3 linked regions of the Mytilus edulis genome follow. The protein of the gene in region 1 binds, or shares a complex with, the protein of each later gene. Links are inferred from orthologs where the notes say so. Each region holds a gene or a part of one and is shown on either strand. Other genes may lie near its edges.

Region 1 (9,904 bases):
TCTTTCATAGATTTCTATTCACTTTTACTAAAGTTAGAGTGCGAAAACTAAAAGTATTCGGACGACGACGCAGACGACGATGCCAACATGATATCAATATACGTATAAAAATGTAAGGAACTATATCTTTGTCTACGACTTCACAATTTGTTTTGATCCAACGTAATCGACAACGTCTTGACAACGCCTCTTGTTGTATCACGTCAGACATGTCGGAGGAGTGAAATAACCACGTTTATTTCACATGTGAAATTATCGGTTTTTATTTCTATGGGAAATCAATGTAATCCATTTCAACCATAATTCATTGCAACCAATGTAATATTACAATTTAACACTGAACTAAGGCCATGGGGATGTCTCAATGTTAAAAGGTTACTATCATTAATAAGTTAAAACAGTCAGACTACAAATTTATGGTAAAATGCCTTACAGAAAAATTACTTTGGGTTTGTTAGAAATGTAAATTTACCAATCTGTACTCTCAAAATGAGGACCAAATTTACAAAGATTAATGATAATTCATGTGTTTTACTATTCTTCTTGATGTAAACAGAAGTATAATTTGAGGATACAGTTGACATCAATACTCCACACTGCACCATTATGTCCTCTGAATGATCCTAATCTCTCTCCATTTAGGGAGTACCATACATTGGGCTGGTTATCTTTAGCACTTGAAAATATCAAGTCACCTTCTCTGTTGTATTTAATACAGGTGATTGATCTCTCGTGTCCGTGTAATAAAATTGGCTTCTGTAAATAGAAAAAAAATATTCCCTTGAATTTGACAGTTGTAGGAAATTTTACAACATTTCATTGCAGTAAAAAAAAAATCTGTGTCCTAGACATTCATCTTTGGTTTTTCAAAGCACCATTATCTATCCATTTTTTATTTGGTGTTTCTATAAAATATTTTGGAAACTTGAGGTTACATGGTTACTACAGCTTGTACACAGGAAGAAAAGAAACATAGCGAGATTTTTTTTCTATAGAACTGGACAAGATAAAACTTTACTCATGCCAAGTATTTCTTTATTAGAACAAAGATAAATTCTGTAAAATTTTTGAAAAGTGCAAATTTAACAAAGACTAATAGGGGAAAATCAAAAGCGGTATTACACCTGTACAAATGTATTCATGCCAATTCTTCATCTAAACTTCTGAGTTTTGGAAAATCATGGTTACTCATGTTGTATATAGCTACGGGTTTCACAATGTTAATTTCAACTTGAAGCAAATATGCAGTGATGCTATCCATGCCAGATATGTAACATTGTACATTTACAAAGTTGTGCCAAAAACCGCTAAAGTAATCTATTGAGTTTCTTGTTTGTGGACTCAAAAGTGAAGCTTGAAGGCTGACACTTTTCTATATGACTAAGATTGCTTTGTATAGTGATATTATTGCCTTTTTTCAAAACTACCTATACCATATTTATTGTGGAAAATGCATTATTTTTACTGAAATTTTATTGAAATTGGGAAATTTGTTTATTTCAGAAACTGTAATATTTTTTCTGTAGAAATAACATCAAAAATGTGGTGCACACTAAATAGACCAAGAATTTGTAGACAGAACAAATATTACAGTCATTCCTTATAATTTTATTAAAGTAAAACATGACAAACACATGAAACATTCATGACGTCACGGTCACTTGACAAAATTATGACCATTAGCTGATAGACGCAACATTGTCCTCGCAAACATAAGACGTGATGCATCCAAAATTGAATTATTTTTATGACCTTTGCTGTCTTTTTTGCAGTTCAATTAGGCCTAATAAAACCCTTTGAACTAAGTTAACCTATTCAGTATTTTACTTTATTAGATGACTCTTTATTTTGAAACAATCAAAAACTATCTGTATCTGTATGGGTACGTCGTAGTTACCAATTCTGGCTTTTATACAACGGGAGTGAAGGCACTGTCGATTTACTGACTTTTCGTGAGAGCAGATTTAAAGCTCTCTACACTTGTTGCGCAAACAATAGTGTCTTCTTGATGGTTCCAATTTACTATTGTGGACACAAAGAATGAATTTGAATGTTGCAGTGTTTTACTGGTAGGAATGTCAAAACACCTGGTATTATTCCTCACTTGTTTTTCAACTGTTTGTGGCTTGACAGTTGTCAAACATTTTAGCTGTCTTGGTCTTGCTGATTTGAGGAAGTCGTCTGGATCAATAGCAGGTAGCAGCCCCTCAACCACCTTGTACAAAAATATAAGCTTGTGCGTCTCAATTGCAATTCCTGTAGCTCTAATTTTGTAAGCATGTTTGTTATGCAGCCATCTTCTCTAGTTCTATAGTCACCTGTGATAAAGCGTGCTGCTGGTCTTTGTATTTGTTCTGGCTTGTTTGAGTCTGCTATACTGTAGGGGTCCCATACTGTTGATGCATATTCCATTGTTGATCTTACTAGAGAAATGTAAGCAGTTTTCTTACATTCCTGTGGACAGTATGGTGTAAATTTCTTCTGAGGAAGCCTAGGGTTGAATTTGCCGTTTTAGCAACGTTAGTTATGTGCGTGCTCCACTTCACGTCTTCTGATATCTGCACTCCTAGGTTTTGGTTGCTCTGAACTTGATGGAGTATGTGGCCGTTGAGTGTATAGAATCTCTGGCTTTTGTTCTTTATGCTTAGTATGTACTTGTAGCACTTTTTTGCGTTAAATCGCATACCCCATTTATTTGCCCACTATATATATGACTAAGACTAAGTTAAAGACAATAGTAAATACCAATAAAAGCACTGTGCTTAAACGGCTGTGGGTAACTTAAGTTACCCACAGCCCAAGATGGCGGACTCTAAACTCGTTGATATTTAATTCATACAAAATGTACCTTTTGCGACGTTTTTCATGCAGAATGTAAATATTTATAGGATTATTGAATAAAGAAATGACTAACAATTACCATAAATTTGTTAATATAGAGTTCACTAAAGCGCAAGGTCAACTTTAAAAAATACATAAGATGTCCGTAACTTTTTGATCGAAACTAAGCAGACTGTCCGTAACTTTATTTTTAGATGTGGGTAACTTTTGATTTAAAATTTTAAGAATTATAATTTCAACAATTAGAAGACAATAAACATCATATTTGTAACCTTCGCGGCCGTTTATACTACTCATTCACCACCAAATGTGATTTTATTAACGCATCATACTTACACCACAGACGTTTTATGTGGGGTTTGTGGTACTCCATCCTGGTTATGGTTTGAACTTTTATTTACTGATGTGCGTCTTATCGACGTTTTTCGCTTGTCAGACCAAGGCTTTTCCATACTCTTTAATGTTTTGAGTTTAATTATATGTTTGCAGTTTGTCTTCACCTCTGTTTCTTTCTATGTGTATTTTGATGAATACTCTTTGACGCGGCTCGGTATTTATACATCCCACCAGTTAGTTATAGTGTTATGATTTTTTGAATATGTTTCCTAGTATGTTTTTTTTCTCTCTTTGTATGTCATCAGGGGTTGTTAGACTATTAAATTACCCTGTTTTCCTACGTAGTTATTTATATTTTTATATACTATGTCGAATTGTTACACTATGATGACTGCTCTTTTCCTTTTATTGTCACTGACTTTTACCTATTGTGTCTTTTAGTTTTATTCAGTTTAATGAGATTTAATGCAACTTGCATACAAATGAAATATGCAGCTAGCTGTAAAACTAGGTTTATTCATTTATACAAAATGTCCTTTTTTAAAGTTTTCCCATTTACTGTAAATCTTGGCCAGGGTGCCGCAATATCACCGTGCGCAACGTCCCAGTGTGTCCAGATTGACACCCCTTTTATTTTACTGTCAATGCTGATGGGATTTGTTTTTGTGGGGATGAGAGAAAAGTGTTTTTGGCTTTTTCAAAAAGACGGAAAAAGTTTGTGCACTTAAGTTTCGTATAGTCTATCCACTGCACGCCTGGGCAATTTGGGTTCCCCTCCAAAATCCCGGATTCACGCTACCCTTGTCGTTGCTGGCAGAAAATCAGTAAGTGTATACATGCTACATGTATGTGTAAAAAATACTTGTGTAGTCTACTTGTTCAAAAATAAAAACGAACAATGATGTTTCAACAGTTTATCTGCTATGATCGGAAACAACCCTCCGAACTAGGCGATTCGGGTACCCCGACGTTATACAAAATGAGACCCGAGTTTTACGGATTTATCGTGATTTTTTTCATATTTTTCCCAATTTTGTCTTTCATCGATACAATGAATTATATCATACTAGACATCTACTTCGTTTTGTGAATATGTATTCGATGGAATCTCTATCATCAGTTTAAACATTACATCCGCGTATGTCGATTCTTTGAAAGTTACGGACATCTCTATTGGTATGATGAAAAAAGTTACGGACAAGTTGTTTTGAAGTTACGGACAGCCTAAGTGTTTTTTAAAATCGTGCTGTGATCGTTTATTTTGGTGAATTTAATCACCTTTCCAGTTTAGGGGTTTCCCTAAACGATTAATACAACTTTTAAATTCAGTTGTTTAATTGATGCATTCGTGGTATTGTTATTATATAGAAGAAAAGTATCTAACCGACGCAAGGCGGCTCCATCTTGGGCTGTGGGTAACTTAACCACAGCCGTTTAAGCACAGTGAAAAGGGTGCGAACGTGAAAGGGGTCTAACGTTATTTGGAGAAACGTACCCGGCATGTTGACAGTTTAAAAATGTAGAAATTTGCCATCTGGTCTCGTTTTTTTGGGAATAAATCCAATAAACTTGAAAATATTCCTTGGTACATAGCTTATTGGTATACTTTTATATGTATGTGTTTCATAAACAACAGTGAAAAATACTTTTCACTTATTATTCTTACCATTCTATTTGTTTTATTGTGAAATTCGTGTATAAACTTTCATGACAGCACGTTGACCGGAAATAAATCTGATTGGAGAAAGGGTTAAAACCTGTCATTCATGTTTGAGAACAGCTCCGTACTGTAGGCGTTATAGTTTTCATTTCTTCTACCATAAACCTGATAAATCAGTTTAACTTTTATATAATTCTTTGTCAATCACAAAGTTAATTTGAATACGAATATGATAACGACAACATTAACACACCAGTTCAACTGTGATTTATTATTGTGACTATTACATGTATTATTGTGTCTGTTTAGTTAACGCATCAATGTACTGAATATTACGGTATTTGATGAGACTGTCATCAAAGTGAGAGGGTTAGCGCTATAAAAAGAGGTTTAATCCACCATTTTCTACATTTGAAAATGCCTGTACCAAGTCAGGAATATGACAGTTCTTGTCCATTCGTTTTTGATGCGTTTTGTTATTTGATTTTGCCATGTGATTATAGACTTTCCGAATTGATTTTCCTCTAAGTTCAGTATTTTTGTCATTTTACTTTTTAATATCAATCAAGAAGCATATAAGAACAAAAAATGAGAAGAACAGAATATAGAAACAAACAATATAGATACATAGTTACAATAACTTTTACTCAGACATAACAAAAATACTTATCATAACACTAGCATATTTAGTAAATTATCCAATTCGGCTCAGTTTTGAAGCCTGCCGGTGCAGTCTTCAACGCTTATTGAAATGATTATGCATGATAATGTAACACATCGAAAAATTGATACTTTTTGCTAACAAAATCAAAGAGAACAATCCTATTAGATTAAGCAATATAGTTTTCACATGGTAATGGAATATGATACATTAGGTATTTTACATCTAATCTTTATGGGAATATGATTCTTTATAAAGCACAAAAATGTCGGCAACCACCCCAAAAGCTAACCAAATCTTTAAACAGATTTATTTAGAAGATATATAGTTACAAAACTGTTGTCAGTTTATTAATGGCATGTTTTGGTATTAATATTGATTTACTCATAGGGTCTTTGCATTCGAAATAACTGACACATTTATTCAAAAACCAGTTCAGTGTTGACATAATACGGGTTTTACAAGTTCTCGTATATTTTATAGATATAGGAAGATGTGGTGTGAGTGCCAATGAGACAACTCTCCATCCAAATAACAATTTATAAAAATAAACCATTATATGTCAATTTACGGCCTTCAACACGGAGCCTTGGCTCACACCGAACAACGTAGCTACAGTACGGTCATATCAGATAAGATAAATTTTATTTTCCAAATTAGGTCCCCAGGGGGGCATATACACATAACATATATAATTGATACAATATACAGTATTTTACATAACATTTTAAAATAAACTATTGAAATAGTCATACAGGTATTATTTGTCAAATAAAAAGTATTTGAGAGTTGCTACTCCAGAGATGTGGCAAACCCCATTTATTTATTTACTTTTTTTCTCTCACTTTATTTTATAATATTTTGCTGAAAATGTATAAATATAAAATAAATGATTGTTTAGCTGCAACAGACACCAAGGGACGATGCTCTAGGATTGTGATCTTAAAAGCTCTAACAATCCTCCTCGTATCTGATGCAGAAAAACAAACACAAATGAAAAAAGTTCATGTATATTCACAGCAATTAATAACATAAACTGCAGTAAACAGGTATTGAGAATAGTGTAGGTTTCCCTACTGCAACAGACACCAAGGGGTGGTACTCAATGAGCTGTTGTATTTACACAGTCCTCCTGGTGTCTGAAGCAGACAAGAAAGCCACATAATTAACAATTTTTCGAAATAAATTTACATGCAGCAGTGAAAATAGACTTATCTTCTGTGTTCATAAGCCATATCAGTTTATCTCTTGCGTTAAGAGTTGAAAAGTTGGGGCAACTTTTAGTTATCTCTTGAAATAGATGATTGCGGTCATCATTAAATTTAACACATTGGAATAAAAAATGATATTCATCCTCCACACCTCCGGAGTTACAACGAGTACAAGTTCTGTCATTTTGGAGAGTACCCTGATACCTTCCGGACTCAATTCTTAAGTGGTGTGATGAAATTCTGAGCTTTGTTAAGCTTCGTCTCTGTTCAAAATTCCCAATAATGGAAAGATAGTGTTCTCTTCCAAAAATTGATGTAAATGTAACATAAGTTCTAAGTTTACCATCTGAATGCTTTACCAATTCAGTGTTCCACAAGTCTATAAAATATGATTTTAATTTTTTTTCATATTAGCTTTGAAGCTATTAATTTTTGGTAATGGTGAAGATAGATAATTTATGTCTGGGATCATTTCAAGAATTGATTTCATAGAGCCATACCAAGATGGGTTTTTTTTAATGAGAAAGATTCTGTGATGTAACATAAGCATCTTTAAGAAGAGAAAATCGGGAATCAAGATTTTCCAAGCGATACCAGTAATCTAACATGGATTTAATCATATCATAATAAAGTGGGAATCGTCCTAGCTCGGATAAAATTTCCAAATTCATGGATTTGTTATGAACACCTAAAACAAGTTTACAAAATATATATATGACCGTATGTAGCTAAACCTCTTACGGGAGGTATTGTACTTGATGTAAATAGGATGAAGACAACATCTTTTAATCAGTTTAATTAAGGTCTGCAGCTGGTATGTTATTAACTGTTCATAGTCCTTTGTTAATTTTTATCATTATCATTTTTCTTAGTTTCTTTTGTTACCTATTCCTGAGACTATTATAAAATCTTAGCTTATTCTGACATCAGACTCGGACAGTTTTACTGTGTGTATTGCTATGTGTTTGTTTTCTCTTCATTTGCTAGGGGTATAGGGGGAGTGTTGAAACTTGAAATCTCACTAAACATGTTTAACCCCGCCGCATCTTTGCGCCTGTCTCAAGTCAAGAGCGTATGTCTTGTATCATTTCTAATTTTTTTTCATATTAGTTTGGAATTTAGTATGACGTCAATTTTCACTGAACTAGTTTTGTTTAGGGGACAACTAAAGCCCCTTTTTGGGTGCGGGATTTTATCGCTGTGTGAAAACTGTCCCCTTTAATTGTTGTCGTAGTCTGTTTTCTGCTCTATGGCCGGGTTGTTGTCTCTTTGACATATTCCCCATTTCCATTCTCAATTTTATTCTCTCATTTCTAGGAATATTTGAAAAACGACCAACCTTAAAGCAGATCTTCGTTATTTACATATGTTGATATTCTGAAACAAAATTTATTAACCAAACAAAGATAGTTTTTAACCAAAATATCATTTGAGCATTAATAATTGAAGATATAGTTCCCATTAGTAGTATTGTATATATACATATTTACGTTTATACTGCTGAATTGTCAGTACAAATTAATGAGTTACTCACAAATTTACTACATATATATTTTAGTACTGTCTAAAGTTTTCAAATTCTTTTGAATTTAAAACAAAAAATCTGATAGTTTTTTACAATTGAGTACCGTTATTTTACTGATATATGTTGTAAATCTGGTCAGTGACGAAAACATAGAATAAAAGGCTGGTGATACCTTTCACAAAAACAGTAAAAGATCAGGGGCGGATGCAGGAATTTTCGAAAAGGGGGGGGGGGTGCTAACCCAGGGCAAAGGGGGGTGCAGGGGGGTGCAAAACATATGTCCCGATACAAATGCATTGATCGGCAAAAATAAAGGGGGGGTGCGCACCCCCGGAACCCCCCCCCCCCCCTGGATCCGCCACTGAATATCGTTTCATCTCGGCCGCTAATAAGTGTTCTGCAACTAATCGTTCAGTGCAAGTTTTAACTAGTTTTTAAAAGTTTTAATTTCTGACAAATTGCAAAAGAAACATTGCTTACGGTTAGCGGGCCGGCAACTGAAATGACACACTAAGAAACGCGCGTCTGGCGTATATACTAAATTTAGTCCTGGTATCTATGATGAGTTTATTATCAAGTACGTACGACCATACAAATTCATCGTTGCAGTCTACACGATGTTAAACAGTTCAGAATGTAAGTGTTAAAATAAAGCGGACTCATGTTTTTAAAGGGGCATTAGCTGCCAAATTCATGTTCAACGATTTGACTCAATTCCTCAAATTTAATTTATAAAATACTAAAACGTATATATCCAAATTACAATAAGTCTGAATTAAGCAGTTGACAAATCATGTACTCGATAATGTATATCAGAATTTCATGTCTATTTTAGTTTAGACGCCATCTAAATAACTGCCGAGATGACCCTCGAATACTCCCGACATTCACATCACCCGATATAAACATAAACCTAAATCTAAATAGATTGCGACCTCGTCACGGTAATTGGATTTTTATAGGTCTATTTAATTTCATGTTATAGGTTAAACAAATAAGTTAATAAGAAACCTATGTTTCACTTCAATGTTGACATTCTTTTCCTTTTATAAATGACTGAACACGACTTATGCATGCGTAACCAATCTTCATCAGCGATATTTCGTTGTTTATTTTGACAAAAATGTAGCGTCAAATTTGCTGCCAAAAACGAATCATTATTTCATTATTTCACTTTTATGAACGATTGAACCAAACATAATCATATTCTATTTTTTTCAAATCTCGTAGCTAGTGCTTTTTAGAAATGTTTCAAAGTCTAACAATAGGCGAGACATTACCAAATTGTTGAGCAATGATGCATGTTTATCATAAATTTACGCCTAAACATTGATATTATAGTTTTATGAGGGTCACGATCACCAGTCCAGTAGTCAGCAATTCTGTATTGACATGACTTATCATTAATATGGTCATAATTATTATACAAAAGTTAAACTTTAAATTTTGGAAATAATAAGGCTTTTGCATCTCAGGAATACATATCTTACCTGTATTTGGCAAAACTTTTGGGGATTTTGGGTTCTCAATGCTATTTAACTTCGTATTTTTGGGGCATTTTTTAACTTTCTTTTTTTTTTTATATATTCGAGCGTCGATGACGAATCTTTTGCGTCTCATGGCGTACAAATTTCTCTGTATCTTTGATGAGTTTATTCACAGCCACTTCT
Region 2 (10,762 bases), on another chromosome or scaffold:
TTCACCTGAGGTAGTCAAAAGAACAGCCAAAACTGACATATGTCAAGTTGACCTGAGGTAGTTTCTGCAAATTATGATCCATGCACAAGTATCATTTAAAGAATATATATTTGCATTTTATACAGCTTTTCTGATTTTTGTTTTTATTAGTTTGTTTCAATTTTGATCTGTAAATTTTGTTGTCTTGCCTCTACCATTTCGATTTTAATTTCTATGTATCCCTATATTTCTTTCGTTCTTTCTTACCTCATCATTTTGAACAAACTGCATGAGGATTTCTTCTACTTGTACTATAGTATTGGCAGGGTTAGGGCCTGGTGGATCCTTCTCTGCTGATCCAAACTTCCTCCAATTCTGTAAACAAGTTGTAAATTATGTTAATTTCAAAAGAGTAAAACAAGATGTACTATGAATGCTACCCTAGGCCTAAATTAAAATATTGTTTGTTTCCCCAATCCCGACCCTGCCAAGCCAGGTGTGGGTAGGTAGGGAAATAATTTTATTTTTCCAAAAAGCTTGACATTATCGGACGATCCGGCAAGCCTGAAAATCCAAAATGAATAAAATAATTTTTCACTTAGTTTTGACAATAAAATTTTATGAGTAGCACCAATTTTGCAGGGTCGGTCGGGATTGGGGAAACAAACAATATTTTATTTTAGGCCCTACTATAAGTATTTGGTTAACAGTTAATGAGCAATAGATGTGGAAAAGCTTCTTACACTGTTTCATTGTACAGCATGCTCACATAATGCATTAGGGGTGTGATACCAAATTTTAGAATGCTCTCATTGTTAATCTGCTTCATGAACAAAATATTATAATTCCATCTGATAGATGGAAAGAAGTAAGCAACACACCCTCTTTCCATTCATCCCAGGGATATTAATTACAATCTAGGAAATATTCTTATCTGTTTATTTACAATCAACTTTGTTACTCAGGCAAAATTAAAAGCTATGAATGTGATACATAATATAAGTATCTAATTTTGTCAGCAATGGGCGATGAATGGATCTCAAAATTAACACAATCAATTAAACCGTAACAAACATATACCTTTCTTCTAGCAATTGATTTTGGGACTTTTCTTCTTTCAATCCTGTATGTCTTAATAATCTACAAGTAAAAAAAAAGCAAAAATATTACCAATTATTACAGTCTCAGAATTAATTAAAACTTTAACTTGTCTATTTCTGCAAGTCAAAATGTGCTTTTATTTGGTGAAATCAATTTTTGAATTGTACAAGTTGGTTTTTTTCTTCTTCTGCTGGTTATTTATTATCAGTCTTTATATGCATTGCCTTTAAAATAAAGTCCTTGATACTTAATCTTTGATCAATTATATTGTTTGCATGACCTTTGAAATAATCTACTGTGACTATTTTTCACTTGTAAACTATAGTTCAATTTTTATACTAATCTGTTAATTTGTCCTTTTTGGTTTTCTATGGTTGATTGTTTCTATTTAGATTTCAATTATGTTCTATCTTAACACAACTTAAATATACTGTCTCTGGTTTAACCACAAAGTTGAACAAAATCAATTTACCATAACCATGTTCAGATTTGCACAAGAAACAAATGGTCTAAATATTTACTATTTTCTCCACATTTTTACATTTAATAACTGATAACATTTTGCTAATGTTTCATGTGGGATTTATCAAAACATTTCAGCACTTGTCAAAACTGTTTTTCAAATGCTGTTTAAAACTTGGAAGAATTTACAATGTTATGATTAATGTCCATGGCCAGTGGCCTCATTTATTATAATCAAGCATAACCTAAATACTGGTGAAATGCGTGTCAGCATGGTTATTGGTTCTACATGTTAAACAGGATTACTGACCTTGACAGTTTTACCATCTTCATTGTACTTGTATTCTGTGATTACTTTGATGCCTTTGTTTTCATCAATGGTCTCTGTAGAAGGTGGCAGAACTCCTGAAAATAAATCATCTGAATTATCATTTGGGTCATTTATTTTTGAACAAAGTTTTGTCTTTTAATGTAAATAAACATGTTTAACAAGTTTGAAGTCAGGAGCCTATAGTTCAGTGGTTAAATTGCTTATATCCTCTCCATTTGAACTCTGGTGGATAGTTGTCTCATCAGCAATCATATCACATCACCTTATTTTATATGTATATATTTTTCTAGCCTCATTTTCAGAAAAACATAAGAGACGTTTGGAATGGTGCGTCAATTTTCTTTTTTGCAGACAAAATCTGAGAAATTTTCATATGGTCTCCATGGAAAGTGATGTCCCAACATGTTTTATTCATGGTGCCCCATGTCCATCAAATTATCCTTAACGATTTTCTACGATGTAATCCAACATGGTTAAATTTTCACTGTAAGTGTTGCTGTTGAGTTTCACGCTCAGTTTATTTATTTATTTTCCTGACCACATGGAACTTTTCCTTAATCACAAGGTAAGTCTAGAGCAATAATTTATAGCAGAAGATAGGTTACCATAAAGTACAGAAAACTGAATTACATCAATGACACAATTATCAACTATTGGAGAATAACTGAATGTTATGTACTTAAAGATTCTCATTGAAACCATGATGGTGGATTAAATATGGACAATGGATTAGAAATTTTAAAGTCTGCAGAGTTATACTGTGCAACCACACTAAAAATAAATGTGGAATCTGTACATGACACACAGAAAGTGCCCCATTTGCATATCATATAAAGTTATAAAGGGACATAACTGAAGAACAGTAAAAGTGACCCTACTAGAATGTGTACTTGAATGTGTTTTGTGGTTATAAGTATTGTGTATAAGTTTCATAACATGTGGTAAAGGCAATCTTATATTAAGTTTTTAGAAAACAGAAATAAAAATTCAACATTTATTCCATTTGTAAAGGGATGAGTTTAGAACACTATAAGTGAACCCACCAAATTTCAAACTTGATCTGTATTATGCGGTAATAAGCAATGTGTAAAAGTTTCATAACATTTGTTTAAGGCTGACTTCAGTACATTGTTCATAGCATTTGGTTGAGGCAAACTAACATGACTAAAGTTTTAGAAATGCAGCATAAAATTCAGCGTATATTTACATTTGTAATTAAAGGGGCACAACTGTAGATCGTTTATAGTGACTCCACCAAAAATTCAAAATTGATCTGTGTTTTGTGTAGTCAGAGATTACTCTGACGTCCAACGGCTGGTTTGCCAGACAAGCTGGGGCCATTGGACGTCAGAGCTCGTCCCATATCAAAAAGTGGATATTTGCCCACCCAAAATAGATGCCCTGCTTCGTCGCTTCTGGTGCCGACTGACGGCCTTGGAATTACATAAATCGGGCATCAATCTGTTCATTTTTCATTTATCTTTTCATTTATGTAAGTTTTACCTACCTGCCAACCTTTATTTTTCCATATTTTAACAGTTTTCACCGAGACCCATCGTCTTTCAAGGCTATTTTTTCCAGGACACCTTTCTATCATGAAGGTGTCCCAGATTACAGCAGACGCCATAAACTTTTATTTGGACTAGTTTGGAAAGAACATAATGAAAGCAATTGGTATTTTAGAAATTTTTCAACTAAAAACCTGATGCTATTCAAACATGACAGCATCTATAATATTGACAGTGCTCTAGCTAGAAATCAAAAGAGGCAGGGTGCCAGTGGAGGGCAGGGCACTTTTTATGATAAGAAAAGGCTCTGCAAATTTTTTTGTCTACGTTTCTGTGTGTATCACGAGTTAACGAATCTCTTTTTTTTTACTGTATATGTTGGTTTTTTTTAAATAAAGATGCATTTTAACTATAGTCTTTATTTCATTGTTTGTGTAGTTATGAATTATATAGTACATCTCTAAGTTTCTGTGTATTACTAATTTATCAATGTTTAGAACATGGATTGCTAAAAGTATAATTATCAAACAGAAATTGCAATATATTTTTTTTAATATGTTCAAAGACAGTTAATATCCTTAAGGTAACATTATTATGTTATTATATATTCAATTGGTTCTTTATTCCTTTTTTTGATACTAGATAATATTTTTAGAGCACAAATTTGTAATAAGCTAAAACAGGGGAAGTAACTCCAAAATTAAATTCCAACACGTTTGCGTTAATTAAAAACTGTGCTTGTCGCTAACAAGTTGAGATGGAAGGCATTTCTGTGAAGGCATAGTTTTATTTTGATGACTTAAATTCAATTCTAAAGTCATGAAAGTCTTCATTTATACACTCTTCCATTGTGACTTGGAAATCGAAAATGACGACCCAAGCTAAACACACTAAGCTAAACACACTCGCTGACACATTCATCAAATGTATGACAAAAAGATACATTGTCCTAATTAAATTACCTAGATATTAACACCTTTGAAGTCTTTATCATTGTAATTGATTGTAATGACATGATTAACCTGGGGGCAATCACACTAGTGTCATATATGTAATTAACTTGGAGATCAGAAATCAATGAAACAAAAGGCAATTTTACCAAAACGGCACAAGAGAATTTTGGAAAAAAGACATCAGGACAGAAGGGCGCGGATGAAGGCACCCAGGGCGCGGCTGAGTGCACCCAGGGCGCGGCGCCCTTCTATTTCAGGCTAGCGAGACCACTGATTGATGTATGCACTATCCATGCTATCTGTGGCTAATTTATGTAGACCATTGATTGACACCGACAGTGATCATGTGACTATAACTTATAATGAAAAAAGTATACTCCATAGGCAACCACCCTTTTAAATTTATAAACGATACAAGACAATGAGACCAAACAGAACCTTCTGGTTTATTTACTCCCTTTAGTATATGATCAGAATGAAAGCAGCTGGAACATATGATAAGATGACAATATGTCAAAGGCGCCTTACCATCTTCTCCTTGCTCTACCTGTTCGGCCCAACTGAATCCTTTCGGCCTAAAATAGAAAAGAAGTTATAGAGTTTATCAAGGTTAGGGAGTCTTTCAGATTTGAAAATAGTAGACTATCATATAGTAATTTTAAGCCAAACATACTCTGCGTCTATTGACGGCATGCTTCTTGACTTATTTGACACTTCCGGTTAAATGGGCAAAACTAAATGATAACATTATCTCGTCCCAAGTTGCTTTTGAGACGTTTCGGCCACAATACCAGTTCGTCCATAGGTCATTTCGGCACATTACCAGTTTGACACCTGTTGATTCGGCCATATTTTTTCATATTTTTCATAATCATTATTTTGGTTATAGAAATTTGTTTTGGAAATTTTACTTGACAAAAAGAAAATTGTTCAAATGAAAAAGATAATTGATATTTGAGTAAAAATGCATCATATAAAAACAAGAGAAAACTGTTGAAATTGATCATAACACTTGTATATGTGTCTGATAATAAGAATTAATAAGAATTTGTAGACTGTTTGATATTTTCTAAACAATGACTTGACAAAAGCATAATATTATGACTTCTAAAGATAAATCAACGGAATGATAATTAAAAACAAATGATCAGAGGGCACACCCGCAGCCAGGGGTGTTCGATGGGTTCTGTTTTAATTGCAACTGTTAAAGTTAAGTATGATTGTATCGAAAGAGACCGTGGTTGATCCTCTAGTGTGGCCAATACGTCCTGCATCACTCACGTTTAATGGCTTTCATTTATTATGTACACGCAAGCTTAAAAATCGAGCATTTTGAACTGATGATTGTTTCTATACTATGTCTAGCGGCAAAACATTTCCCAACTCTTCAAATAAACAAATAAAGATCTATTTCGTGTCAGAACAGACATAAAAATATATGTGAAAAAATGAAAACTAGTTAAATTACGATAAAAAAAAAGAAGACAAAAAACACATAAAGCACCGATCTTATCTGACATGAATATAAAAACAAGAAGGGGTACAATTTCTCAATGAGGCAACTATCCATCAAATTAAACGGCATGATTTATGAAATATTTTTTCTCGTATCGTATCGTATGTGAAACAATTTAATGGTGCAAATCAACGGCAGGGTCTGAATGTGGTTAGAAGAGTCGAGAATAATTAGCAAAATACAGAATTAATGGCCAAAAAGATAAATGCGGGATTGTCTCGCTGTGCCCATTGGTAGCCTCGTTTTCTGCGTTTTCAGTTGGGTTGTTGTCTCTTTGACACATTCCTCGTTTCCATTCTTAATTTTATTGTAAATATACTAGAGAAAATAGAAGGAAAAAATCACACAATCTATAGTTTCCGGCATAACGCACAACACATAACGCCCAAAAATGGATAATAATCACCATTCAACATCTACATCTCCGTTTTATCCATGCAATATGGCTTCGTGTATTTTATACATTTGTCCAAGCTAAAGAAGGTTCCAAGTGATTGTGTAATAGCCGTGGGAGCGATTGAACAGGGCGTCAATGAAATATCAGGCTTTGAGATAATGAATTTATTTCAACTTTTACTGTGGCAATGGCATTTTAACTTGAAGAGAAATGTATCAGAAAAGGAACACTATAGTAAAAATGTATGTATAGCAACGATGTTTTTTTTTTAATGTTTTTGATATGATTTTGTCACTGTTGTTTGACAATTTTGAACAATTTACTCGAAGCTCTTTCATTTTAAGGAACCCGTATGGATATATATTGATTTTTTACTATTTCATTGGTCCATATTTACACGTAACGTGACGGTACCCAAATTGCACCTATTTTGACTGTTTTTTCACCTACGTTTTTTTATGATCATGAAAAAAATGCCCATACTGTGTGTATTTTGTAGCCCTATCCTTCTTTATTGTATAGGTACACCAATTTAATTTTGAATCCATATTGAGTCATAAAAAAATGGGTTTGAATCAACCTCCAAACTGTCCATGATTCTGTAATGAGGAGTACCCAAATTGCATCCATGCTTTATAAATTCACATCGTCAAAAGTCTGATAACCGAGCTTTTGTTTAATTTCTTCAAATATTTTGAACAATTGGATATTAGTCCATGCTTACTCTTCATATTTTACGAAATGGATACTTATGATATTGTATTTGGTAATTTTAGGAAGATGACGCTTTGATGACGTCGCATGATGACGTTTTCGTACATTTTGCTTTTTCAGTAAACAGTCCATCTGTTGATTATCACTGTGAACGTTTTGTGTATATCTAAATATGTTTACCTATGTTAAAAGACGTATATAGTATCAAATCATAAAAATACAAAGTGATTAGTCTCTAGGAAATCTTGTAGGATTTCTGTTGCTATTTTTTCTAAATAGGTGCAATTTGGGTACTCGGTGCAATTTGGGTACCCTTACGTTAGAATGTTTTCTTTATAACAGTTGAGTTCATCATACAATGTCCCATCCAACAACTTGTTAGTTTTTCGAATTGATATTCTCCCGAGCGACTATACTTTAAATATATTGATAGAATAAACATGATTACGGTCCATGCAGTTTTGTTTAAACACTTATGTTTGAGTGATAAAAATCAACGACCAGGGTCTAACAGGGTTGTTTACAGAATAGAGAATAATGAGCAAAAAATACAGAATCAAGGGGGAAATATTTAGGCAGGATTTTCTTGCTGTGTTGAAGACCATGCAAGTCTCTTAGACACATTCCTCGTTTCCATTCTCAATTTTATTGTAAATATACAAGAGAAAATAGAAGGAAACAAATATCCTTCAATCTATTGTTTTCGGCCAAAGCTCTATTTTTCAGCATAACACTCAAGAATTGATAAAAATCATCATTCGTTATTACGTTTTATCCATGTAATGACATATATGTTCGTGTATCACTAAACACAAAATGCATCGAAACAAGGTCATAATATGGTAGCTCAGTTTTCGATGAAACAAAAAAAAAAAACTCATTTAGTTATGTTTGCATACACAAACAAGCTGTAGAATATTATTAATTCATTTTTTCTATAAAAATTGATTGATTTCAAATTGGTCTGAAATTTAAAATTTACATTTTATGAATTGAATCCGTGAACCCGGTTTATTTTGGCTACTTTACACCACTGATTACTATATTATGAGTTGTTTGATTGACTGTCTACTTGTGACAATCACTTTATATTTTCTCTTTGCAGAATTTGTTAATATTGTTTTTATTTTATTTATTATTTATATTTATCATATACTTAGCATTAATATGATAGCTTTTGCATATGTGTAACGAACGGAAGTACACAAGCCATAATTTCCCACCCAGGCTGATAACCCATATCAGCCCGGTCTGATAACCCATATCAGGGGCGTCTCGTGCAAAAACCCATAACAGTGCTTCTCGTGCAAGTTACTTCCGGTGTTTCCGGTATCGGTTGTTTATTTTTTCCATTGTGACGTCAGATATTGATGACGACGTCAAAATTTACGGGAACAGTTTTGTGGGGATAGTTTAGTACTTACTAACAAATACCATTGGCAATTATGAATCATTTTATAGTACAACAAACATGGAGTAATAATGATAATGAAACTCTTCCAACTACTCAATGTTTCAAAATGCCTCTATAGGAAATGTTACCATAAAATGTACATATACTTTTAGAGTTAAATTAGGGGTTCGACAAGGTGATAACCTAAGCCCTAATCTTTTCAAAATTTTTATAAATGACTTTCCATCATATATTGATAATGTTGATGATGATCTGATTTTGGGTGATACTAATATTAATTGTTTAATGTATGCTGATGATATTGTTTTGCTCTCTACCACATCATATGGTCTTCAATCTAAGTTAAAAAATGTTGATAAGTTTTGCTCTGACTGGTGCTTAAACATAAACACCAATAAAACAAAAATTTTAGTATTTAATAAGCAAGGTAGACTTATCAATGAAAAATTTACTCTTCAGCAAGTTGAACTGGAATGTGTACAGCACTACAAGTATTTAGGCCTTATATTTTCGGCTTCAGGTGTCTTCTCTCATGCAAGACAGGAATTGTACAAAAAGAGTCTAAAAGGCTATTATAAATTATGCAAAGATGTTATTCGTTCACATCCAAAAATTACTACCAGTCTACATCTATTTGATCACATGATCAAACCTATTTCTTTATATTCCTCTGAAATTTGGGGTACATTTAACCCAAAGAGTAGTAAATTTAGAAATGATATAGTCTTAGATAAAATTTATTCAGATCTTGAACCAGATAAATTACACATGAAAATAACAAAATTTATTTTGGGTGTAAACAGAAAGAGCAGCAATTTTGCTGTACTCTCTGAACTAGGTAGATTTCCTATTTATATTAGTATTGTGAAAAATCTACTGAATTATTATTTTAGAATTGAAAATATGCCTGAGGACTCTTTATTATATAAAGCCTTACAAACCTCTAAAGATTTAGATGATAAAAATCACAATAGTTGGTATAGCAGTGTCAGACACTTATGTAAAATTATTGACCTGCCTAGTAACTTCATTAATTTTAGTAAATACAAATTCAGAAAATGTTTACTTAATTGTTTAAAAGTATCCTATGTCAAATCTTGGGAAAATGCTTATAGCCAAAATAGCCAAGGAAAACTAAGAACATATTGTCAGTTTAAAACATCATTTTGTAAAGAAAATTATTTAAATATCTTGAAAAATTTTGATTTGAGAAAAGCTATCACAAAATTCAGGATTTCATCTCATAGACTTAAAATTGAAACTGGGAGATATTCCAAATTAGAAGTTCATCAAAGAATTTGTGATAAATGCGATTTAAATAAAGTGGAAGATGAACTTCATTTTCTTATAGAATGTCCTGTATACTCTAAGGATAGAGACATGTTATTTGATCTGATATTTAAAGAATGTAAAAATTTTTACTCCTTGGATATGGTCAATAAATTTATTTGGCTATTAAACTGTGAGTCTATTAATATTTTAAAACAACTTGGCTATTTCTTATCAAAACACCTGCCTTGAGTAAACATTTATAATATAACACTGGGATACTGTAAGTAATATTTAAAATGTCTAACTTTTTAAAGCATACTGTTTTGTTGTTTTGCTTTATTGTATTTGTAATTGTTTGTAACTATATATTGTCATGAATGTATATGCACTATGCCCCTTGAGGGTACCTCTTTATGGAAATAAAAGATATTCTATTCTATATGTATATGGAGGTAGTGATGCTGTTGGTTGCATTGACAGTTGTAGTATATTGGATTTATAACTTAACTTCTTTATAAAGTTTTTGACTGTTTTAGTTGTTGCATTTGTGTTTTTTTTTTTTTGCCTTACATAAAACTATTGTCGGAAGTATATGATAAAGCGATTAATACATGGCCTTTTCCATATCAGCCTGGGTATCATCCCTCGACCCATATCAGCGCCTCGACTCCGTCTCGGGCTGATATGGGGGTCTCTGGATGATACCCAGGCTGATATGGAAAAGGCCATGTATTAATCTCTATAGAAATACAGAGGGAAAACTTAAGACTATATATACTGTATAGGACTTGGTGTTCACTAAATACGAGAGTTAAAACGATATATAGATCCTTTTTAGAATCATTGTATTTGAATTCCCCGGAATCTATTTGAGTAGCTGTTGATTGAATAAAGGGGTGCACGCTAATGAAACAAATTAAAGCGTCAACCGAACGATATAAATATACACATGACCTAAGGGTTAACCCATAAGAAAGATTAATATTATTCTGAAAAGTGCGGGGAAATCAGGAAATTTAAGTTAAACTTCAAATATATAACAAAGGGAAGAAGACACATCTTGACTATGACAATACAAACTGTACAACAAAAGAGATTCTTTTTGAAATATTTGG
Region 3 (11,348 bases), on another chromosome or scaffold:
ATAATACATCATGTCAACTTATAGAAGAGTGTAGACCAAGTCAAACAAATGATAGGATTAGGCTTTACTTTATTGAACGAAATACTGAAGCATTCAACATTAAGACAGTGGCTGTTATGTCAACAAATAATTCCAATTATCACAAACTGCAATATATAACTTTATTTAAGAATTGAATGCTTCTTTTTGTAAATTTATTGGGGTGTAAAAGCGTTGACCGAAGTACATTTTGTATGAAGCGCGGAAGCGCTTCATTCTAAAAATGTGCGCACGGTCAACGCTTTTACAACCCTATAAAGTTACAAAAAGAAGCATTCAATACTTATAATTGCATTTTTTAGCTATGATCATGAAAACACGAATTTTATATATTTTTTTATTTAATTCACCTGTGCCCTTTATTGTTGGACCACGTGTTATCATGAATGAAAAGTTGTATTGAGCATTGCAACTGCTTACGGAATAACACGTGATGTGCAGATAGCCAATCAGAATAAAGTGTTATAATGAAACATACATCTAATGTAATTATGTGAAAGTAATACGAGTCATGTTCAAAATTCATCGCCTACAAGGAAGAATGATAGTTATAAGCTATGCTGTATCACAGAATCTGTTATACTTATAGGGCTTTTAGTTATAGGAGTCGTGTGGAAATATAGACAAATGCAATATCAAGGCAGTGGCGTAGCTAGGTCATTTTGACGTGTACGCCCGAACCTTGGCAAGGAATCCAAGGATTCCAAAACGGGTCCATGTCAAACAATCGCTGTTGTGGTTTAGCTAGGAAGCAAAGCCACCGGAATCTAAAGAGTAATCGAGAATGGGTACCATTCCTGTCATCAAAGGCTCATCAGTAGCAACATAAATTAGAATCTAAATGGATTATTTGTTATGTTAAATTATTCATTTTTGTTAATTAGAAATATAATGGTCATTTGATTTAGAGAAAGTGTCAAAACCAGTAACTTTTAAAATAAATTATGTTTAAAATGAACCGTTGGGGTAAATCACTCAACCAACAAACACACCTATTTTATGTCAAAATTTCATAAATGAACATGTAAAAATTAATCTTCAGAGATGTTCAGGTGCAATATTAGATATGGTAAAGTGTTTTGTAGAACCCTGGTTCTCGTCTGGAATATTCCTCGCAAAAGTGAATCCAGTTATCAGTCCATTACAGGATTTAAAAAAAATCAAACATGTTCTTTAGATATTTTTTTTATCTAGAATATTACTTTTGACCCTAGTTTCATAACTGTCTATGCAGGGTTATGCATTTGTGAATTTAAAAAGCCATACAGTCTGTCAGTATAATATTGAAAAATGAATAAGCAAATTTACTTTCAAAATTGCTTAAAACAAAATTTGTAAAAAATTCTTGGATTCTGCTGAAGTTTCATTAATTAGATGAAGATTTGACAAAGAATTTGTTGTGTAAAAAATGTTAACCAAAGCCTATAACTATTAGTACCTGTTAATTTTGTTTGTAAAACACGGTAAACTGAACTGCATATAGTTTCAACATTATGCTGTCATTCGAAAATGAACAAATATACTATATGATACCATTGGCTGAAAAGTAAATTTTCCGCAATTACAAGCTAATGAAGAAAGAATTATAAAGCTGATGTGCTTCTTACTACTTCTTTTTATTATTTTTTTAGATTACATTATCATTTTCTCAAAATTCAAGTGTACGCCCGGGCGTTTTGACGTAAACGTAGCTACGCGCCTGCAAGAGAGTGAAGCAAGTACGAAATTAATAGCAAAAGACTGTGAGATAGCGAGATTTAAAAAAAGAAAATTGTGATTTAAAGGAACAATCAGTAAAGCTTGAAGAAGAGAAAAATCATATCGTGGAACAACTAGTACGGCTCAGAGATATGTGTGGAGAAAAGCCCGGCGTCGAAAATCGCTTTGCGCAAGAAAGTTCACCAGACGAACAGACATTTGGAGATTTTCGGGAAACTGACATCTTAATATCATAGTCTACATAGATAAAGTATTTCCGTATTTTCTACGAATTCTATGAATGGGAACAATTCTACGAAATCTATTGGGAACATTTTATGAAGAATTCGAAAAAAATCCAAACTGTTCATTAGATGGATTTTTAACTAAAGCAACTACTATTTGTATTCAATGTAAACATGCACGCCTATATCTGGGTTTTGTTTGTAAGTGTGTGTGTGTGTGTGTACTTTATGTCATAAACATGCATATATCTTGTATATATCTTGTTTGTAATCGTTATGAAATAAACTTGTCTCGATTATGACAGGTCACGAGTGCCATCTTCGGCTATGACAATCGCTGACTTTAAACTTGCTTATCAACATGACCAATCAGTTGACATTTTTGAATTAGAGTAAAGCCTGATCAGATTAGTGTGAGAAAAATATATTCAAAACGGTTTTCATTCCTGGCGCACTATAACTTAATATCTTTTAGAGTACATACACTCTAACTCTCTTTCATCTTGCAGTAGTATTAAAACATTTGACTTTTCTACACTTTACACAAGTATTCCACATTTCAAAATAAAAGACAAATTGGAAGAGTTGGTATTGATTTGTTTCATAAAAAAGAATGGCCAACGTAGATACAAGTATTTTGTCTTAGGGACTAACTCAGTCTGGGAGGGATAAATCCTACTTTGTAAAGGATTACTCTGATTCAAACAAAAAAATCTCTGAAACTTACATTATCAAGATGCTTGATTTTTGATTGACAGCATATTTGTTACGTTCGGAGGACGTATTTTCCAACAAACTGTCGGCATTCCAATGGGAACCAATTGTGCCCTCTTCTGCCGACTTGTTTCTTTATTATTATGAGGCTGACTTCATACAGGAACTTCGTAGGAAGAAAGATAAGAAGTTAGCAATATCCTTTAACTCTATTTTACGCTATATAGATGATGGTGGGGTTCGTGTTGCTTAGTCCTTAGTTTTCTATGTTGTGTCTTGTGTACTATTATTTGTCTGTTTGTCTTTTTCTTTTTTAGCTATGACATATTTTCAGTTTGTTTTCGATCTATAAGTTTGACTGACCCTCTGGTATATTTTGCCACTCTTTTTAAATTACTTGCTATTCACTTTTTTCTTTCGCAAAAACAAAAGCAGTTATAAGGATAATCAACTCTTTCAATTTGTCTTATAGTTTAGAATGGGGAATACTTGTGAAAAAGTGTAGAAAAGTCAAATGTTTTAATATACTATTGCAAGATGAAAGAGTCTTAGATTGTATGTACTCTAAAACATCATTTTTTTAGTATATCAACATCAATCTAATTGAAATAAAGATCTCTGCTTTCGTTGTACTACATATGCCTATAAAAGGGTGATTGAAAAATCACCAAAAAAGATGGATTTCGGAAATGAGTACTAGCCCAGCAATCTCCGTACAGCGCTCGTTTCCTTTCCGTATACTTACACTGTGTCTATACCACACCGGCAAAATTTGTTCGGACTAAATGCTATCTAACATCCGGCACAATGACGGAACATTAATAGACAGAAAAAAGCTAGGTTTCTCCTTATTTTCTTATTTTCTTTATGATATCGAAGAATATATATACATATACAACTATTTTCTAATGTGATATGCAATATTTTCTACAACCGTTCTATATTAACGGAGAAATAAGTAAAAATGCATGTCAAAATGACGAATTGAGTGAACCTTGCCTCGAAATTGTTTAATTTCTCGTTAACTTGTTCACATTGTACGGAAAGAATGGTACGAGAAGATAGATACTGACACGGAGATTGCAAAACTTGTTTTTATGAACATCTCAATACTTGTATTTCTGAGTATGGAACGAAAGAAATGGGTCATGTCAAAATGGAACTGGCCGGTTTCGTCAATATGTACCACCCGGTTTGGTCTTAGATTTTACAATGCATAACCCGGTTTGGTCAAATAAAAAAAATCATAATCGCATTGCATTATAATTGATAATTTAGCTTCAGTGTTAAAAAGGAGTTTTGTGACCGGGTAGTTGGAAAACAAGTTCTTTCACAGGACAACGGCTTATTATTTATATGATTAGTCTCAGATTCAAATAAAAAATAAGCAAACACTAAAATTCCTACTCTTATAGAAGACAAATAATTTTTATTTTATTTTGCATTCAAAAATTTTTAACAGCAGAATACATATAAATGAAGGTTATAACGCAAATTGAGGTTAAAGCTCTCAAATATGCGTTTTATATATGAATTATGGAAAATATGATAAGACAAATGTATATATGCATGCATAATCGAAATGGAAAATGAATGTTTATAGGAAGAAAAGGATTACAACTACCATGCATCAAAGGTGGGATCGGGGGAGGGGGGTGCAATATATACGTCTTCGAGATTCGCCACTTATATTATAAAGTGTATACCGAATTAAAATATTGTAAGAAATAAGAAAACAGGGACACCCGCGAAATCGGATTATGTGAGTCTGATTATGTTTATTATAAACATTCTCATTGATATTTTTAAACAAGCGACACTAATTGATTCGAATTCATAGCGTTTTGAACTACATGTATTTGTATAAAGCTGCATATGTCAAAAGTAAGAAGGTTTGACTGTAACATATACAAGTATGAAACACAGATCTAACGATTTTTTTCCCTATTTGTCATATGTCCATTGCCCTTGCCCTTGACCTCATTTTCTATATTATTTTTCCTTCGGCCACAGACCTTCACCATAAATTGAATTGCGACCATTTAAGCATTTGTGACATGTACACTTAAATATAAATAATATGTCTTATTTGTTTTATTGAGAAAAAAACGTCAGTGAAGCTATGTCCGATCCGGTTCGTGAAATTTGAAATTTTCAGTTGTTACACATTGTTTTTAAATTCAAGAACGGTGTAATTTTGTTTGGAATTCTTTAATTTAATTTTTTTCAATAATGAAATAATAGATAGAAATTATTATTTTCAAAAATATATATATAAGGCATATAGCAAAAATGACTTAGGAAGTCAAGAAGATATACAAATAAATCGACTTGGTCGATATCCTAATAAAACTTTTGACCTTTAATTAAGAGGTTTTTTTTCCATTTCATTGCGTTTTTACACGCCCGTCAAAATTTTGACAGGACGTATTATTTTGTATACATCCGTCCGTCCATCTGTTCTTCCTTCCTTCCATCCGTCCGTTCCTCCATCTATCAGTCATTCTGTCCGTCCGTCCGTCCGTCTATCTTTCCGTCCAGCGTAAACATGTCGCACCGTAACTTGAGAACAGCTTATCTAGTTTTCATGAAACTTAACAAAGTTATTTCTTGAAATGGTCAAACGAACTATAAACCTTTTAGTAAAAATCAAATGAAATCTTATTGAGTTACAGAACTTTGTAAGTAAAACAGGAGTGTGGTTTTTTTTAACATGTCGCGCCATATCTCAAAACGATTTATCATTATTGCATCAAACTTTACACACTTCTTAGTAATATAAATCTTAACTTCTGCATCTTCCCGTATCTTTCTTTCCGTACAATGTGAACAATTTAACGAAAAATTAAACAATTTTGAGGCAAGGTTCACTCAATTCGTTATTTTGACATGCATTTTTACTTATTTCTTCGTTAATATAGAACGGTTGTAGAAAATATTGCATATCACAATAGAAAATAGTTGTATATGTATATATATTCTTCGATATCATTAAAAAATAAGAAAATAAGGAGAAACCTATCTTTCTTCTGTCTATTGATGTTCCGTCATTGTGCCGGATGTTAGATACCATCGAGTCCGATCAAATTTTGCCGGTGTGGTTTAGACACAGTGACTTAGTACACTACAATACAATGACTTAGTGTAGTGATACGTAGTAAGTACGGAACGGATGTGAGCTCTGCGCCGGAGATTGCTAGCCCAGCAGTATATTATCCCCTCAAACATGTTTTGTACAAGATCGACAGAATGAAAAAAAAACGAATTATAATTGTTCTTTTTTTTTATTTTATCGACATTTTTTTCTTTTCCAAGAAATATTGTACAACAATACATTTAAATTATTCGGTTCTATAATGGTTAACGCCACAATTTTGACACTAGTACTCAAAGGACGAAATATTATTTGGGGCGAGTTTGTGTATAGGAATAAATAAAATATGTTTTGAGATTGTCCAGAAAGCGTTTCATTAACCCGGACTCTCCTTTTCCAAGATGGCTTCCAGAAAACACACGAGTTCTCCTGTACAATATGTTCAAATTGATGGTCTTGTACGTGTTCTAATTAATAGATTTCAATAATTAGTGTATGCTCATTAAATATAACTATTTAGCTTTTCAATAAAGCTTTGAATAGGTACCTTCTAATCTGGCGACGCAATTACATTAGTCTCACATCGTTTGTAGTGCCACAGGAAATTCATGATAAATTTCTGTCAATAAATATGATAAAAGTCTGTAAATAATAAAGTCGACTATTAGAAACGCTTCTCCTCTGTTTTTTTTTCATAGACTGCTATGTATGTTACAAATCAAAATAAGCCAGGCTTCCCAGAGTGTGACATTCTATTTTGTAGCCAGTACAAATACATTTTATATTTCTGTAAATTCTGACAATGTACTTATATTGATACACCTGGCACTTAAGTGTTAGTTGTTTAAATCCAATTGGTTGCCTCTGATTATTCAAAGAAATCAACATAGTTGAAAGAGTGTATGAGCACAGGAGTTTGAAATCCTATCAATAAGGGGGTCAAAATATACCAAAGTCGACTACCACAGTAGAGCTTCTCTCTCTCTTCGAGAGAAGCTCTACTGTGATAGTCGACTTTGGTATATTTTGACCCCCTTATTGATAGGATTTCAAACTCCTGTGGTATGAGTGGCCTCCTGTCTGTTTGAGATGTGCCCCATTCAATTACACTTTATTACATAGTTAGACTCGTAACGGGTAGAAGAAGAATGCCTTTACCATCAAGCATCAAATGGTTAATATTCAAAACATTCTACTTTTAATCTCATCAAGTTTGACAGAAGTTTGACATCTTGAACTATTTCGACCATCCAATGTTGATTTCCGGTTACTAGGATCTTCTATCTTCCTTTATGACTAACTATGATATCTAATTATAACCTAATTTGCTATTCATATGCAAGAAGGTAGAAGAATCATGTTACCGGAAATCAGTGTTGATTGGTCGAAATAGTTCAATATGTCAAACAGATTCTGCCAAACTTGATTAGATTAAAAGTAGAATGTATTAAATGTTGAAAAAAGTGGATTATCTTGACATATAAAGGTTGTTGATTCTAAAAAGGCACATGAAAATGTTGAAAAAAATGTTTATCTACCAGTGTGTATTGGTACGGATATCTGACAAATTTATACAAAATAAGCGAAAAATTAGTGCAAACAAATTGTCCACGATCTCCTGTTTTGGATTGGAACTGCTTTCTGTCTCTATACATGTATATTGCACACAAAAAAAAATAGAAAATAGCAAAATCAATAAAAAGCGAATGTAAATTAGTAAATATATGCATTATAGGGACAGAAGAATTTGGTCTAGAAGAATGCACAAGAATTTGAATGACTTTTCTGATCTGATGACTGAGTTCTTTATTACGAAGTTGATATATCCTTTTGTTTCCTGCACAGATTTATAACATTCATTGGGATGTATGTGTGAGATGGACCAACTGAGAATACATTCATATATTTTACTTTGTTGCATTTTAGGGTGTATTGAAGATAGTTAAGCATTGTCAAGAACACGTTCACATACATATATTTTACTATTTTACATTTTAGGGTGTATTGAAGATAGTTAAGCATTGTCAAGAACACGTTCACATACATATATTTTACTATTTTACATTTTAGGGTGTATTGAAGATAGTTAAGCATTGTCAAGAACACGTTCACATACATATATTTTACTATGTTACATTGTAGGTTGTATTGAAGATAGTTAAACATTGTCAAGAGGAAGCAGCTGGTGGAACAGATTTGGTCCAGGGTGTCTTGTTAGGTCTAGTCGTCGACAACAAGTTGGAAATCACAAATTGCTTTCCTTTCCCCAGGCATAATGATGAAGAAGAATTTAATGAAGGTAAGTAAAGATATTTTCTGTAGTTTACCTCATAGTTCCAGTGAAAGGAGTTGTTATTATGAAGTGTCTGTGGTTGTATGTGTCTATAATTTGTATCTCTATTGTAAATGTTTGAATAAAGCTGAAGTTGAGGCCACACCAAATTAATTAATAGTTCTTTGAGATTTTACCCAAAAAAAAATGGGGCGAGCGAGCGAAATTTAAATTTATATTTTTAAATTCTTCGCCTCAAATTTTAAAGAAATATGGAGCGAGTGATATTTTTTTTCTCTCAATTTTTATATCTTTTACCTAAAAGAAGCAACTGAATTTTCTACTCACTTAATTGAAAGGGGACATAATTTGATATAATTAAATTATCTCCCTTTTTATATGTATTTCAACTTTCTGCATTCTTTTTCATTTTGTTTTGTTGTTTGTATAATTAACACTGCACAAATATACACTTTTGAACATATTTTTTTATGCATGAACTTTATATGGCTATCTGCTTTTAATATGCACTGCTTTCATCTGTAGTATATGCACCTTCTGGTCCTTAGACACCCTCTGTAGTATGCTAGCTAGCTTCTTGTAACATAACTGCATGGTGTGTGTTTTGTGTTTATGCATATGGATCACATACCAGTTAATCCAAGCACAGTGGAAACTGGGGATCCTAGCTAGTGCTACTTTACAATTAAATATCAGAAAATAAATTACACCAAAACATACCAACATGGAAATACCTACATAACCTACATTTATAAGCCTATGTTATAACTAAGATTTCAACCAGATGCATCATGGAGTCTATAATCCTGCAATAGAAATGCATTTTTTTCATTTACAAAACATCCTGTGTTAAACAAGTTAACTTTCAATTTCACCCATCTTTAAAAATGGTATAAAATATCAAATTTTATCATTTTGTCAGTACCTTGTATTATTATAAAAAGGTACATATAAAAATGGAACAATATGGGGTATTTTAAAGTTTGAGAACTGCACAACATCCACCAGGAAAAATAACAAATGCAGAAAACCTCTTTACCTGTATCTAAAGTGTCTAGTGACCATCCTTGATCAATGTTTGAGGCCCAATCAATGATATCAGAGTAAAGTCTTTGTGGCCCAGAAAGCTGTTTCCCAGACAAGGGGACAGGTTTATCAGGCATGTGTAACTCATTTAGTGAGCTCATGAGTACCGAAAATGCATTAATTCCACTTGGTTTTGAATTTGATGCATCTTTAGTAGCAGTAGATCCATCATCAATTGTGAACTGCACATATTTAAAGTTTAGGTCATTACATATTGACCATACCATATTTTCGTCAGATATTTCGATACTAGAATCATCGAAACTGTTCGACTTACTTATTTGTATGGTTTTAATATTAATAATCTCACTTTGTGCATCGCTACATCGTTCAATGGCTTCTTGATATAGTTCCCTGAATGTCCGACATTTTGTTTGTGTTGCCGTATTTTTTAATATGTATGCCTTGTTGTTATTTTTGTCTGAATGTTTCACCACAGAAACAATCAGCACGTTTTCCATCTTTGCAACTTTTTTTATCAGAATCAAAAATATGCTTGACAAATGACAAACACTGCATATTTTCAAACGCTTAATTGATAAAGATTTTTTTTTAATACCGGAATCGAGTTCGTTGAAAATGCGGATTTATTTTCGACGTGCAGGAATTTTATTTTTATTTTTATTTTTTGGTTTTGGCAGGTGAGGTGCGGGAAATTTATTTTTATTTTTTTATTTTAATTTCGGCAATTTAGGTGTGGGTTTTCCAAAGAACTACTAATTAATTTGGTGTGGCCTGATGGTTAAAATTAATATCTTTATTATTATACCCTTGACAGCAAAGTCAAATGAAAGAAATCAACAATGTTTGAAAACTATATTCAGTTATGCCACAAACCATAAAACCTTGCAAAGAATTAATTCCTGCTAGGCTGCTAGGCCACCATAGCAAGGTTGGGCGGTATTTACCGCCCTGGACAATACTCTTCAAGTGGTCAATTAATACTGGCAAATACATATGTGTAACACATAAGCAAACGACAACCACTGAATTACAGGCTCCTCAGTGACTTGAATGTTCATTACCATGATAACATATATTAAATGTATTTTCATATTGAAATTGATAGAAAACAAAAATTTGGCAATTTTGGAAAAAGGGAGGAGGGATAAAAGAAAACATTTTCCTGTCCCCAGTACCTATGACTTTTGATACCTTTCCTGAAATTCTCCAGTCATTAAGTCTTTTACAAAATTCTTTCCTACGACAATTTACCTATTCTTTCAACCACGCTCTGAATGCCCGCGATTTCGCGGGTGTGTTCTAGTGATTTATAAATTAAGATATGATTTTTTTGAAAATAGTGTTTACAGGTAAATAAAACTTGAGGTAAATTAAGTTACAGGTGTCATATTACCTATCACCTGGCATTGCTAGGTGTGATAATTTAACTACTAAAACAACAGCCCCCAATGAATGATGACAAAACATGGGTTGAAAGTAATAAAAAGGATATTTGAAGATACTCATTAAGTTAAAAAATCAAATGTTTTTATCCTGTGTATTCAACTGTAAGACAAAAACCACCCTGCAGGAAATGAAGGAACTTTACTCTTATGCCTTTTATAATTTATGGTGTGAACAAAAAAATCTATTATTTGGTGTAATAAATTTTTACATACACATCTAGTTCAACCACCATGACTTTAAACTGAAACCGAAACTTTAGTAAAGACCCTATCTGGAACTTTAATACAATATTAGAAGACAACAACACAACCAGAGCAAATGATTGCGATGCTATAGTCAGTGCTAAAGGCACCTGATGAGTCCTTGACAGGGACAACACTGTTTTTATCTTTTGTACTAATAAGTGATTGTAAATCACTGTTTACTATTAATTTACAATAAAAATAGAAATGATAATATTTAAAATGACTGCAACACTTTCATTATTTCATTACTGGTACATGTAGCAATTGACCAGGTAGAGAGTGGTGTTTATAAACTTTATAGTAAAGTCCATCCAAAATTTCAATCGACCAGTATTTGCCAGTAAATGCCAGTATTTACCGGTATCTACCGCTAGTATTGACCACTTTGACCACTTTTTTGCCAACCTTGCTGACCATACATGTAAACAATATGGCCACCTTCAAGCAGTGATCTAGAGCTCTAAGATTTGAAAATAGAGGGACGTGGTATCTGTACATGCTGTATAATACTAGTTTTTTGTCAT

Evidence for each region.
Region 2: eukaryotic translation initiation factor 3 subunit I-like (region 1) and eukaryotic translation initiation factor 3 subunit G-like share a complex: the UniProt entries of both Caenorhabditis elegans proteins name them as parts of the eukaryotic translation initiation factor 3 (eIF-3) complex. The link is inferred for Mytilus edulis from reciprocal best matches to the Caenorhabditis elegans genes eif-3.I and eif-3.G.
Region 3: eukaryotic translation initiation factor 3 subunit I-like (region 1) and eukaryotic translation initiation factor 3 subunit H-A-like share a complex: the UniProt entries of both Caenorhabditis elegans proteins name them as parts of the eukaryotic translation initiation factor 3 (eIF-3) complex. The link is inferred for Mytilus edulis from reciprocal best matches to the Caenorhabditis elegans genes eif-3.I and eif-3.H.

What each region holds. Positions count from the first base shown.
Region 1 is NC_092344.1:35,623,074-35,632,977, forward strand, and holds the start of eukaryotic translation initiation factor 3 subunit I-like, read right to left. Parts: upstream 4,975-9,904; 5' UTR 4,847-4,974; coding exon 4,844-4,846; intron 757-4,843; coding exon 576-756; intron 1-575. UniProt on the Caenorhabditis elegans protein: Component of the eukaryotic translation initiation factor 3 (eIF-3) complex, which is involved in protein synthesis of a specialized repertoire of mRNAs and, together with other initiation factors, stimulates binding of mRNA and methionyl-tRNAi to the 40S ribosome.
Region 2 is NC_092345.1:11,398,123-11,408,884, forward strand, and holds the start of eukaryotic translation initiation factor 3 subunit G-like, read right to left. Parts: upstream 5,120-10,762; 5' UTR 5,028-5,119; coding exon 5,008-5,027; intron 4,910-5,007; coding exon 4,863-4,909; intron 1,948-4,862; coding exon 1,853-1,947; intron 1,120-1,852; coding exon 1,060-1,119; intron 355-1,059; coding exon 247-354; intron 1-246. UniProt on the Caenorhabditis elegans protein: RNA-binding component of the eukaryotic translation initiation factor 3 (eIF-3) complex, which is involved in protein synthesis of a specialized repertoire of mRNAs and, together with other initiation factors, stimulates binding of mRNA and methionyl-tRNAi to the 40S ribosome.
Region 3 is NC_092353.1:8,917,521-8,928,868, reverse strand, and holds the start of eukaryotic translation initiation factor 3 subunit H-A-like, read left to right. Parts: upstream 1-6,116; 5' UTR 6,117-6,191; coding exon 6,192-6,248; intron 6,249-7,932; coding exon 7,933-8,089; intron 8,090-11,348. UniProt on the Caenorhabditis elegans protein: Component of the eukaryotic translation initiation factor 3 (eIF-3) complex, which is involved in protein synthesis of a specialized repertoire of mRNAs and, together with other initiation factors, stimulates binding of mRNA and methionyl-tRNAi to the 40S ribosome.